Linked DNA regions of Arabidopsis thaliana. The protein of the gene in region 1 interacts with the protein of each later gene in a pairwise test. Each region holds a gene or a part of one and is shown in the gene's direction. Other genes may lie near its edges.

Region 1 (4,708 bases):
AGACTTGAGTACACTAGTCAAAGAACATGGCATAAACCGATCTTTCTCTTTCGCTTCTTAGTCTTTGAAGGAGGATGTAAAACTACTTTGATCGCTTCATCAAACACGGCTTTTACGTTCTGCAAATTTAGCATCATCATAAGTCTTTCTTTATCAGATTGAGGTCCAAAATATTTGGTCTAATTGTAAAATGTAACTCAAGCATTAATGGTTACTTTACCATTTGTGCTTTTGAGCTGCACTCTATGTATGCTAATGCTCCTATTTCCTTTCTTAGTTCTTGACCCTATAAAAGAAGCAATCTTTGAGTTATAAAAGAGTTTGATTCTTAACATGGTTCTTGATCATATACATTGAAGAAGAATCTTTAAAAAAACATACCTGTTCTGGGAAGATTGTGCAAGCACCTGGATAATTCTTTGGGAACTGCATGTTGTCTCTTAGATCTGCAATATCAAGAAATTCATCTTATATACTACATAACATCACTTACACATTGATGTTAGATTCCTAACATTCAAGACATAACAGAGTGGTTCATTATCTTCAACCTGATTTGGTTCCCACAAGAACAATAGGCACAGTCGGGGCATAATGTCTCAGCTCGGGTACCCACTGCGAAAGAAAACCGATCCATATGCACATGAGATCAGTGTTGTAAAGTTAAATTACAGTGAAATTAAAAGTAAAAGGAAAGATAATCTCAAGTCTCAACCTTTTTAGCAATGTTCTCAAAGCTAGGCCTGCTAATAAGTGAGAAGGCAAGAATGAAAACATCTGCTCCTCTGTAACTCAATGGTCTAACCCTATTGTAGTCTTCTTGACCTGTAATATAATGTGAATCACCCAAAAGATATATAACACAAGAATCATAATTGGTCTCATTTAAGTTTTGAAGAAACATGAGCAAAATCTGATAGTGAATTCAAGAACCAAAACAATGTTGCATCAAAGATTCAAATTTTTCAACTGACTTCTTTTAAAAGGACCAAAAGATTAGACCTTGACATATTGTTGTAGATATAAAGCTAAAGACAAGAACAACTTTGACATTAGGTAAAAGCATTTACCAGCAGTATCCCAGAGACCCAGATTGACAGTTTTACCATCGACTAAAACATTAGCATTGAAATTGTCGAACACTGTTGGAACATAATCCTGTAATAACAAGATCTCAACAGTCACCAAAAGCTATCAAGAAAAGCAATCCAAAAGAGAGAGAGGGAGAGATGGATTTATATACAGTGGGGAACGTGTTGCTGGTGTAGGAAATAAGAAGACAAGTTTTGCCCACAGCTCCATCGCCAACAGTGACACACTTTATAAACGTTGTAGCTGTTGCTGATGATGTTGATGTTGCAGCCATTGAAGCTGACATTGATTGAGAAAATTCTCTGATTTTACTTACCCTGTTCTCTCTCTTTCTGTGGTTTTATTCTGGTTCAAGTGAAGAATGAGAATGAGACTTGAGTGGTAAAAAAGGAGTCAACTTTAATTTGAGCTGTCAGAGAGCCAAAACGCCTTAAAAATAATTTTTTATTCGGTGGGTTTGATTTCTTTCCTATTTTTTGAATTTAGATAGATTTTGCCATATTTTACTTCTTTCCAAAAAAACTCTAATTGGTAACACATAGCTGTACATAACTTTTATCTGTTAACTTTTTTTGAAATAGTATAAAATTACTAAAAAACAGTTATATTAAAAAAAATGTATAAAAAAGCTGAGAGAAAAATCTTTTAGTAACGCTTTTGATAAAAAAAATTATAATTGGTAGAAATGAAAGTTGTACAAATTATAGTGCTTTGTTTTTTTCACCAATCAATGCAAATGCAAAGGTCCAAATGTTTCAGCAAAATGAAAATAAGTGGTGGTTATATCAAATCAAATTTTGTAAATTCAGTTACATTTACATGACTAATTTTACAAGATGTGTAATTTTAATTATCTCTAGATCATTTGTTTTTTTTTTCGATTTAAGTTTGGACAATGGATCGACCACCAAACACATCATCATTAACAAAGATGGAAAGGCAAGTCCATTATTACTACCGTGTTGATACAAAAAAAAATGAATTTTATGATTTCTTTCTTCCTAAGATATAATTTGGAATCATAGTTTAAGTACAAAAAAATGTTTCCTTCTACGTGAATCTTTGTATTACAACTGTCAGTGTCATAAGGCCCATCCGAAAAGCCCATTTCTAAATACTAGAATTTTAAAAAATTAAACAATGATTAAAAAAAAAAAAAAAAACAAAGAGAAGAAAACAAAACAGTAGAGAATGAGAAAAAACCACAGGGAAAAGCAGAGCACTCTTTATCTCTTCTTCTCTCTTTCTTCTACTCTGTGATCAAACTATCGAAGAAAAAACAAACCCTAGATTTATCCGCCCCTCTTCTTCCTCTGATGATAAGAAAGTCGAAGACTTTGAGAATCTAAAGCTGAAAAATTTTGTTTTTTTTCATTGAGGGAATCGAATCGAGTTATGTACAAGGATCGGAGTGGAGGAGGAATAATGGGTGGTGGTGGATCATCGAGATCGGAGATCCTTGGTGGAGCTATTGATCGGAAACGAATCAATGATGCTTTAGACAAACATCTTAAGAAATCTTCACCTTCTACATCTAGGGTTTTCACTTCTAAGGACAAAGATTCTGTCCCTTCTACTTCAACTGCTAAATCTCAGCTTCATTCTCGTTCCCCCGATGGTTAATTGCTTATATCTCACTCAATTTCAATTTCATGTGGTTTTAGTACTTTCTGATTTGGGTATTAATAAATTTTGATTCTTTGTGGATGCAGTTGAATCTGACACGGATAGTGAAGGATCAGATGTGAGTGGTTCAGAAGGTGATGATACCTCTTGGATCTCATGGTTTTGTAATTTGAGAGGGAATGAGTTTTTCTGTGAAGTAGATGAAGATTATATACAAGATGATTTCAATCTCTGTGGTTTGAGTGGTCAAGTTCCTTACTATGATTATGCACTTGATCTCATTTTAGATGTTGAATCATCAAATGGTAAGTGAAGGGTCCATTTGATGAATTTAGGCTTTACTTTGTCTGAGAATTGTTGTATAATTTGGAGGAATGTTTATTGGATTAGGTGATATGTTTACTGAAGAACAGCATGAGATGGTGGAATCAGCTGCTGAGATGTTATATGGTCTTATTCATGTTCGTTATATTCTCACTACTAAAGGAATGGCTGCTATGGTAAGCAAGATACTTCTTCTACATCTTTGTTTCTGATTGATCTTTTGAATGATATCTTTCTCTTTTGTAGATGGAGAAGTATAAGAATTATGATTTCGGGAGATGCCCCAGAGTTTTCTGTTGCGGACAGTCTTGTCTTCCGGTTGGCCAATCTGATATCCCGAGGTCGAGCACTGTGAAGATATACTGCCCAAAATGCGAGGATATTTACTACCCGCGATCTAAATACCAAGGCAGTATCCTTTGCTCCTCTGTTCAAAAAAGCTTTATCTTGTCATAATATGATGCATCTGCTATTGTTTGGTTAAACATTGCGATTAGCTAGTTTGTTTGCATTAAATCTTTTAGAAGATAAAGAGTGTTGTCCACTTGTCTTAGTGTTCTTTCCTTAATGCTTATTGCAGACATTGATGGAGCTTACTTTGGAACTACTTTCCCTCATTTGTTTCTCATGGCCTATGGGAACATGAAACCGCAGAAGCCGGCTCAAAACTACGTTCCTAAGATCTTTGGCTTTAAGGTACACAACAAACAATGATACTCTCTCCTCTCAACAGTCTTGTGGTTGAATACAATCTCGGTGGCTAAACCACCATTCTTCTGATGGTCACGGGTTTGAAATGGATGATACTAAACTGCGTTTGGAGGATGAGAAGAGCTAATGAAGAAAGGTCGACACTTAAAAGTTTTTCACTATGTAATCTCAAAAGTTCTAAGTAGAATCTTCAACATAGAACCGTTCTTTGATGGGTCTTGGGAAATTCTTTACCTGTGAGTAATCAATTAAATCATTTACCAGATGGATGGATTTTGCTTTGCTTAACTGTTGTCTATAATTGCTGAAAATTTAGGGTGTATCCTACTTATCTTAAGTTTCTTGTGTTGTACGGAACTAATCTTCATTTTTCAATCACTATTAACCAAAACAAATCTGAAAACAAAAGATAGATGGAACAAGAACCTAATGAAAACCAGATTTTGACATTCTGTAATACAAAGATATAAACACTTGAAACTCGGTCTAGCTCTGGTAAAGTTACAGGTCAAGAAGACTACAATCATTGAGTTATACAGAGGAAGAGATGTTTTCTTTTTTGGTTCTGAATATCAAATTCTTCATAGAAAGTGGGAACTGTCAATGTCTTAACCTAATATATGGGATCTTGAGAAGCCCATTTAAGGCCCAAAAAAGCTGTCACTGTTACACATTTAAAAGATTCCCCGGAGTTCTTAGTTAGTTGCCTGCCGTAAAATGCATACCGCCAAGAGCAGTCGAACTGACTAATTTGTTCAATGCGAATAACTATAAAAGCCAACAAATCTTAACACCACCAGTTTGAATAAATTTTGTCGATTTCTAAGACACCATTACGATCACACGCAGATACAGAAATTGAATTTATATTTATTAAGAACATAGTTGTTATGCTCTGTTTATTATGGAACATCGAACAAAATTTCAACCCCAGATTACAAAACCATCACATCAC
Region 2 (3,554 bases), on another chromosome or scaffold:
ACTATTATTTTTTGGATCTGACATTTCTGGGTTGTATTATGTGTAGCATGTGCCAGAAGAACCCAAATCGTTTTCTTCTTTCAGGGAACGACTTCACCACTTGCAGGCAAGAATTCTCTGATGTTTGAACGAGATTGGAATGTTCAGGTTTTATTTTTTGATATTATCGGCTGTAACATGTGTATGTTTAATGTAACAGAGGACAGAAATGGATCGGGTCTGCTTTGGGCGATCTGGAATTCATGGATGGGGTCTTTTTGCAAGAAGAAATATCCAAGAAGGAGAAATGGTATGTCAGCAGACCCATTTGTGATATTGTGTTTGGTCTATTTGGGATGAGGGGAGTGTTTATTGTCGAGAGGTGCTATTGTATTTCAGGTTCTTGAATACAGAGGGGAACAGGTGAGAGGTAGCATTGCAGACTTGAGAGAAGCACGTTATCGCAGAGTAGGAAAGGATTGCTATGTGAGTTGAAAAAGTTTCCATTTTATCTTCACAAATTGTCTCTTCTCTCTCTATCTCTCTTAACCAAAAGAAGGATTTATGTTGCAGCTTTTCAAGATCAGTGAAGAAGTAGTGGTTGATGCTACAGATAAAGGGAATATAGCTCGGCTCATCAATCATTCGGTAAGCTGCTTGGCATGGACTTTTTACGTACAAGAAATTTGACAGACTGTTAAAGCCTAAATCAAAATACGTGGTGTGTAGTGTACACCAAACTGCTATGCGAGGATTATGAGTGTAGGAGATGAGGAAAGCAGGATTGTCCTGATAGCCAAGGCCAATGTAGCTGTGGGAGAGGAGTTAACGTACACAACGCATTTCTATATATACCATTCTTCAATCTAAAGCTGATTGATTGTCATAGTTTAAGAAATGTTGTGTGGTGTTTTGGCAGGTATGATTACTTATTTGATCCAGACGAGGCAGAGGAACTCAAGGTGCCATGCTTATGTAAAGCCCCTAACTGCAGGAAATTCATGAATTAGAATAGAAAGGTATAGATCCTCTAAGTTTACTTCACAGGCTACAACACCAAGAAGAAAAGGCCAAAGCAAGATTGTCTCTTTTTGCTCCAAAAACAATAGATTTATAGGTAGAGAGAAAAGCTAAGTGATCCAAGTCTGATCTCTTCTGCCTCTCTGTATAGACAAACTCGTTTGTGTCACCATTATCCTCAAAAGAATTCAATTTCATTCATTTTGTTCATTTCAACGAGACTTGAGCAGAAAACTTGGGATAATTCCAACTGTTGTGACCGTTTTACCCTATAACCATCGGTTTACTACGGTTATACCGCGAAGGTGATGAGTCAATTCAATTGGGAATTGATTTTCCTTTCGCGCCGGTTTATGAATCGTGCTTTCGTCAAGTGCCATGTCAGACGAATTGTAGTTTGCTGCTGATAAAAGATCTCGTAATGGTTTTCTTAAAACACTTTTAAGCGTTTTTGACGGCCCAATTGATGCGAATATGGATTGACTCTTATCTATACTTCAGATATGTTCAAAGCCACACAAGGTAAATTGCATAACGGATAACAATTCCCATAAGAAAAAATGTTTCGGTGTCAAACTGTATATGAGCAATTCTGAAACATTCTAAAGATTTTGTGGTTATGTGTTAAACTTAAAGCATTTGATAGAGAGATATTTTTCAAAGAAATAGGAAAAAATAATGTTACAATCCTCCACATTAATGTTTACAATCCGTCCATCTGTACTTGACATGTCGGATCATAATCCAAGATAATGGGAATACAGATATAAGTTAAAAATGAATTCACTCATAGAAACTTGGAAGGCTATATTCGTCAATATAAAAGAGCATCCTTTAAATAGCTGCACACTGGTACAGTGGTTCTACTATTGAGTGAAAAAAAAAAAAAACTAAAGGCACGAATAATTTTTGTCTAATCAAAATTATTTAAATTGCTGCTATTTAAGATAACGATGAACGGTGACGAAACAAAGAAGGTGGAGAGCGAGTACATCAAGAAACACCATAGACACGAGCTTGTAGAGTCTCAATGTAGCTCTACGCTCGTTAAGCACATCAAAGCTCCTCTGCATCTCGTAAGCTTTGCTTTGCTCTGTTTTTCAAGTGTTAAAGATAACGATTTTTGAGATGTTAAATGATTTGTTTTGTTTGGAAAAGGTGTGGTCAATTGTGAGGAGATTCGATGAACCACAAAAATACAAACCATTTATCAGTAGGTGTGTGGTACAAGGTAAGAAGCTGGAGGTTGGTAGCGTAAGAGAAGTGGATTTGAAATCTGGATTACCAGCTACTAAAAGCACTGAGGTATTAGAGATTCTTGACGACAATGAGCATATTCTCGGCATCAGAATAGTTGGTGGTGATCATAGACTCAAGGTAAATTGAAATTTCCTTAAATGTACCATTCATTCCGACAAGATTATTGTTTTTTTTAGAGCTTAATTTGTTATTTGTCCAATCAGAATTATTCTTCAACCATTTCGTTACATTCGGAGACGATAGACGGAAAAACAGGGACATTGGCTATAGAATCGTTCGTGGTGGATGTGCCGGAAGGTAACACAAAGGAGGAGACATGCTTCTTCGTGGAGGCTTTGATTCAATGCAATCTCAATTCTTTAGCAGATGTTACCGAGCGTCTACAAGCAGAATCTATGGAGAAGAAGATATGAGATGTGACTTGAGAATCTTTTCATTCGGAAAAGAAGGAAAAAGACCAAAGAAGAGAAATAACTCTTCCCTTTTATAGCAATGTCTATGTTTTTTCTTCTTCTATTTCCATTTTCTGAATGTTTGTATATTATTGGAAGTTTGTAACGAAATGATTTCGAATAGCTGTCAAACGAGAAATATAAATTCAAATTTGTAAGTGTTTATATGAAATGCTTTTTTATTTTTAACATTTCCACATGAAAATATAAATAACATATCATGACACATGCAAAATCATATTTATGAAAGTTTTTTCAACTCTCTCCATTTTTTCGACATATCAGCATTAGATAGAGTGACACTTATCACATCAACATATGAATTACATTTCTTATTTAATTTAATGTATTTAAGAATTTATAATCATGCATTAATTCTTTCTAAATTTTTTGACATGTTTGAACTTATTAATTAAATAATTTCAATTTAATTAGGTACAAAGTATATCAAACTCACATAAATAACTTATTTAAATTAAATTATATAAATCGTATAAACTTATGTATAAACATAAAATTAATAGAATTTTAATGAACTTTTAGATTTGATTAAAGTATAAAAATTAAATAATATGATATAAGAATTTATTTCATGTTTTCATATACTAATATATATATATATATATATATATATAAAAGATTAATAACAATTGATATTAGTTAAATTTACGGTTTAGTTTAAGGTAAACCCAAGATGCTCTCATCTGGAATTCTGTTATGATCTGTACGTCCTCAAAGTTCCAGAGATGTTGAGAAAGATCAAACATCAGCAGCGTCAGAGGCTTTTTCTCTGGAGAGGTGATGTTGAATGGCTCTATGCGCTGCTCGGAGAGCAAAAGAGTC

The links.
Region 2: the proteins of CKB4 (region 1) and PYL10 interact in binary tests that used the Arabidopsis thaliana proteins (3 or more experiments, as listed by UniProt).

What each region holds. Positions count from the first base shown.
Region 1 is NC_003071.7:18,425,946-18,430,653, reverse strand, and holds CKB4 (casein kinase II beta subunit 4), read left to right. Parts: upstream 1-2,256; 5' UTR 2,257-2,487; coding exon 2,488-2,710; intron 2,711-2,804; coding exon 2,805-3,023; intron 3,024-3,108; coding exon 3,109-3,218; intron 3,219-3,288; coding exon 3,289-3,454; coding exon of another isoform or gene 3,455-3,498; exon of another isoform or gene 3,499-3,622; coding exon 3,623-3,756; 3' UTR 3,757-4,173; downstream 4,174-4,708. Other genes in the region: ARAC9 (RAC-like 9), read right to left, coding at 18-119, 221-286, 382-446, 552-615, 716-825, 1,071-1,158, 1,244-1,378. UniProt on the Arabidopsis thaliana protein: Plays a complex role in regulating the basal catalytic activity of the alpha subunit.
Region 2 is NC_003075.7:13,899,268-13,902,821, forward strand, and holds PYL10 (PYR1-like 10), read left to right. Parts: upstream 1-1,874; 5' UTR 1,875-1,952; coding exon 1,953-2,075; intron 2,076-2,157; coding exon 2,158-2,376; intron 2,377-2,462; coding exon 2,463-2,672; 3' UTR 2,673-2,733; downstream 2,734-3,554. Other genes in the region: SDG16 (SET domain protein 16), read left to right, coding at 47-106, 200-289, 379-465, 553-627, 709-809, 899-989. UniProt on the Arabidopsis thaliana protein: Receptor for abscisic acid (ABA) required for ABA-mediated responses such as stomatal closure and germination inhibition.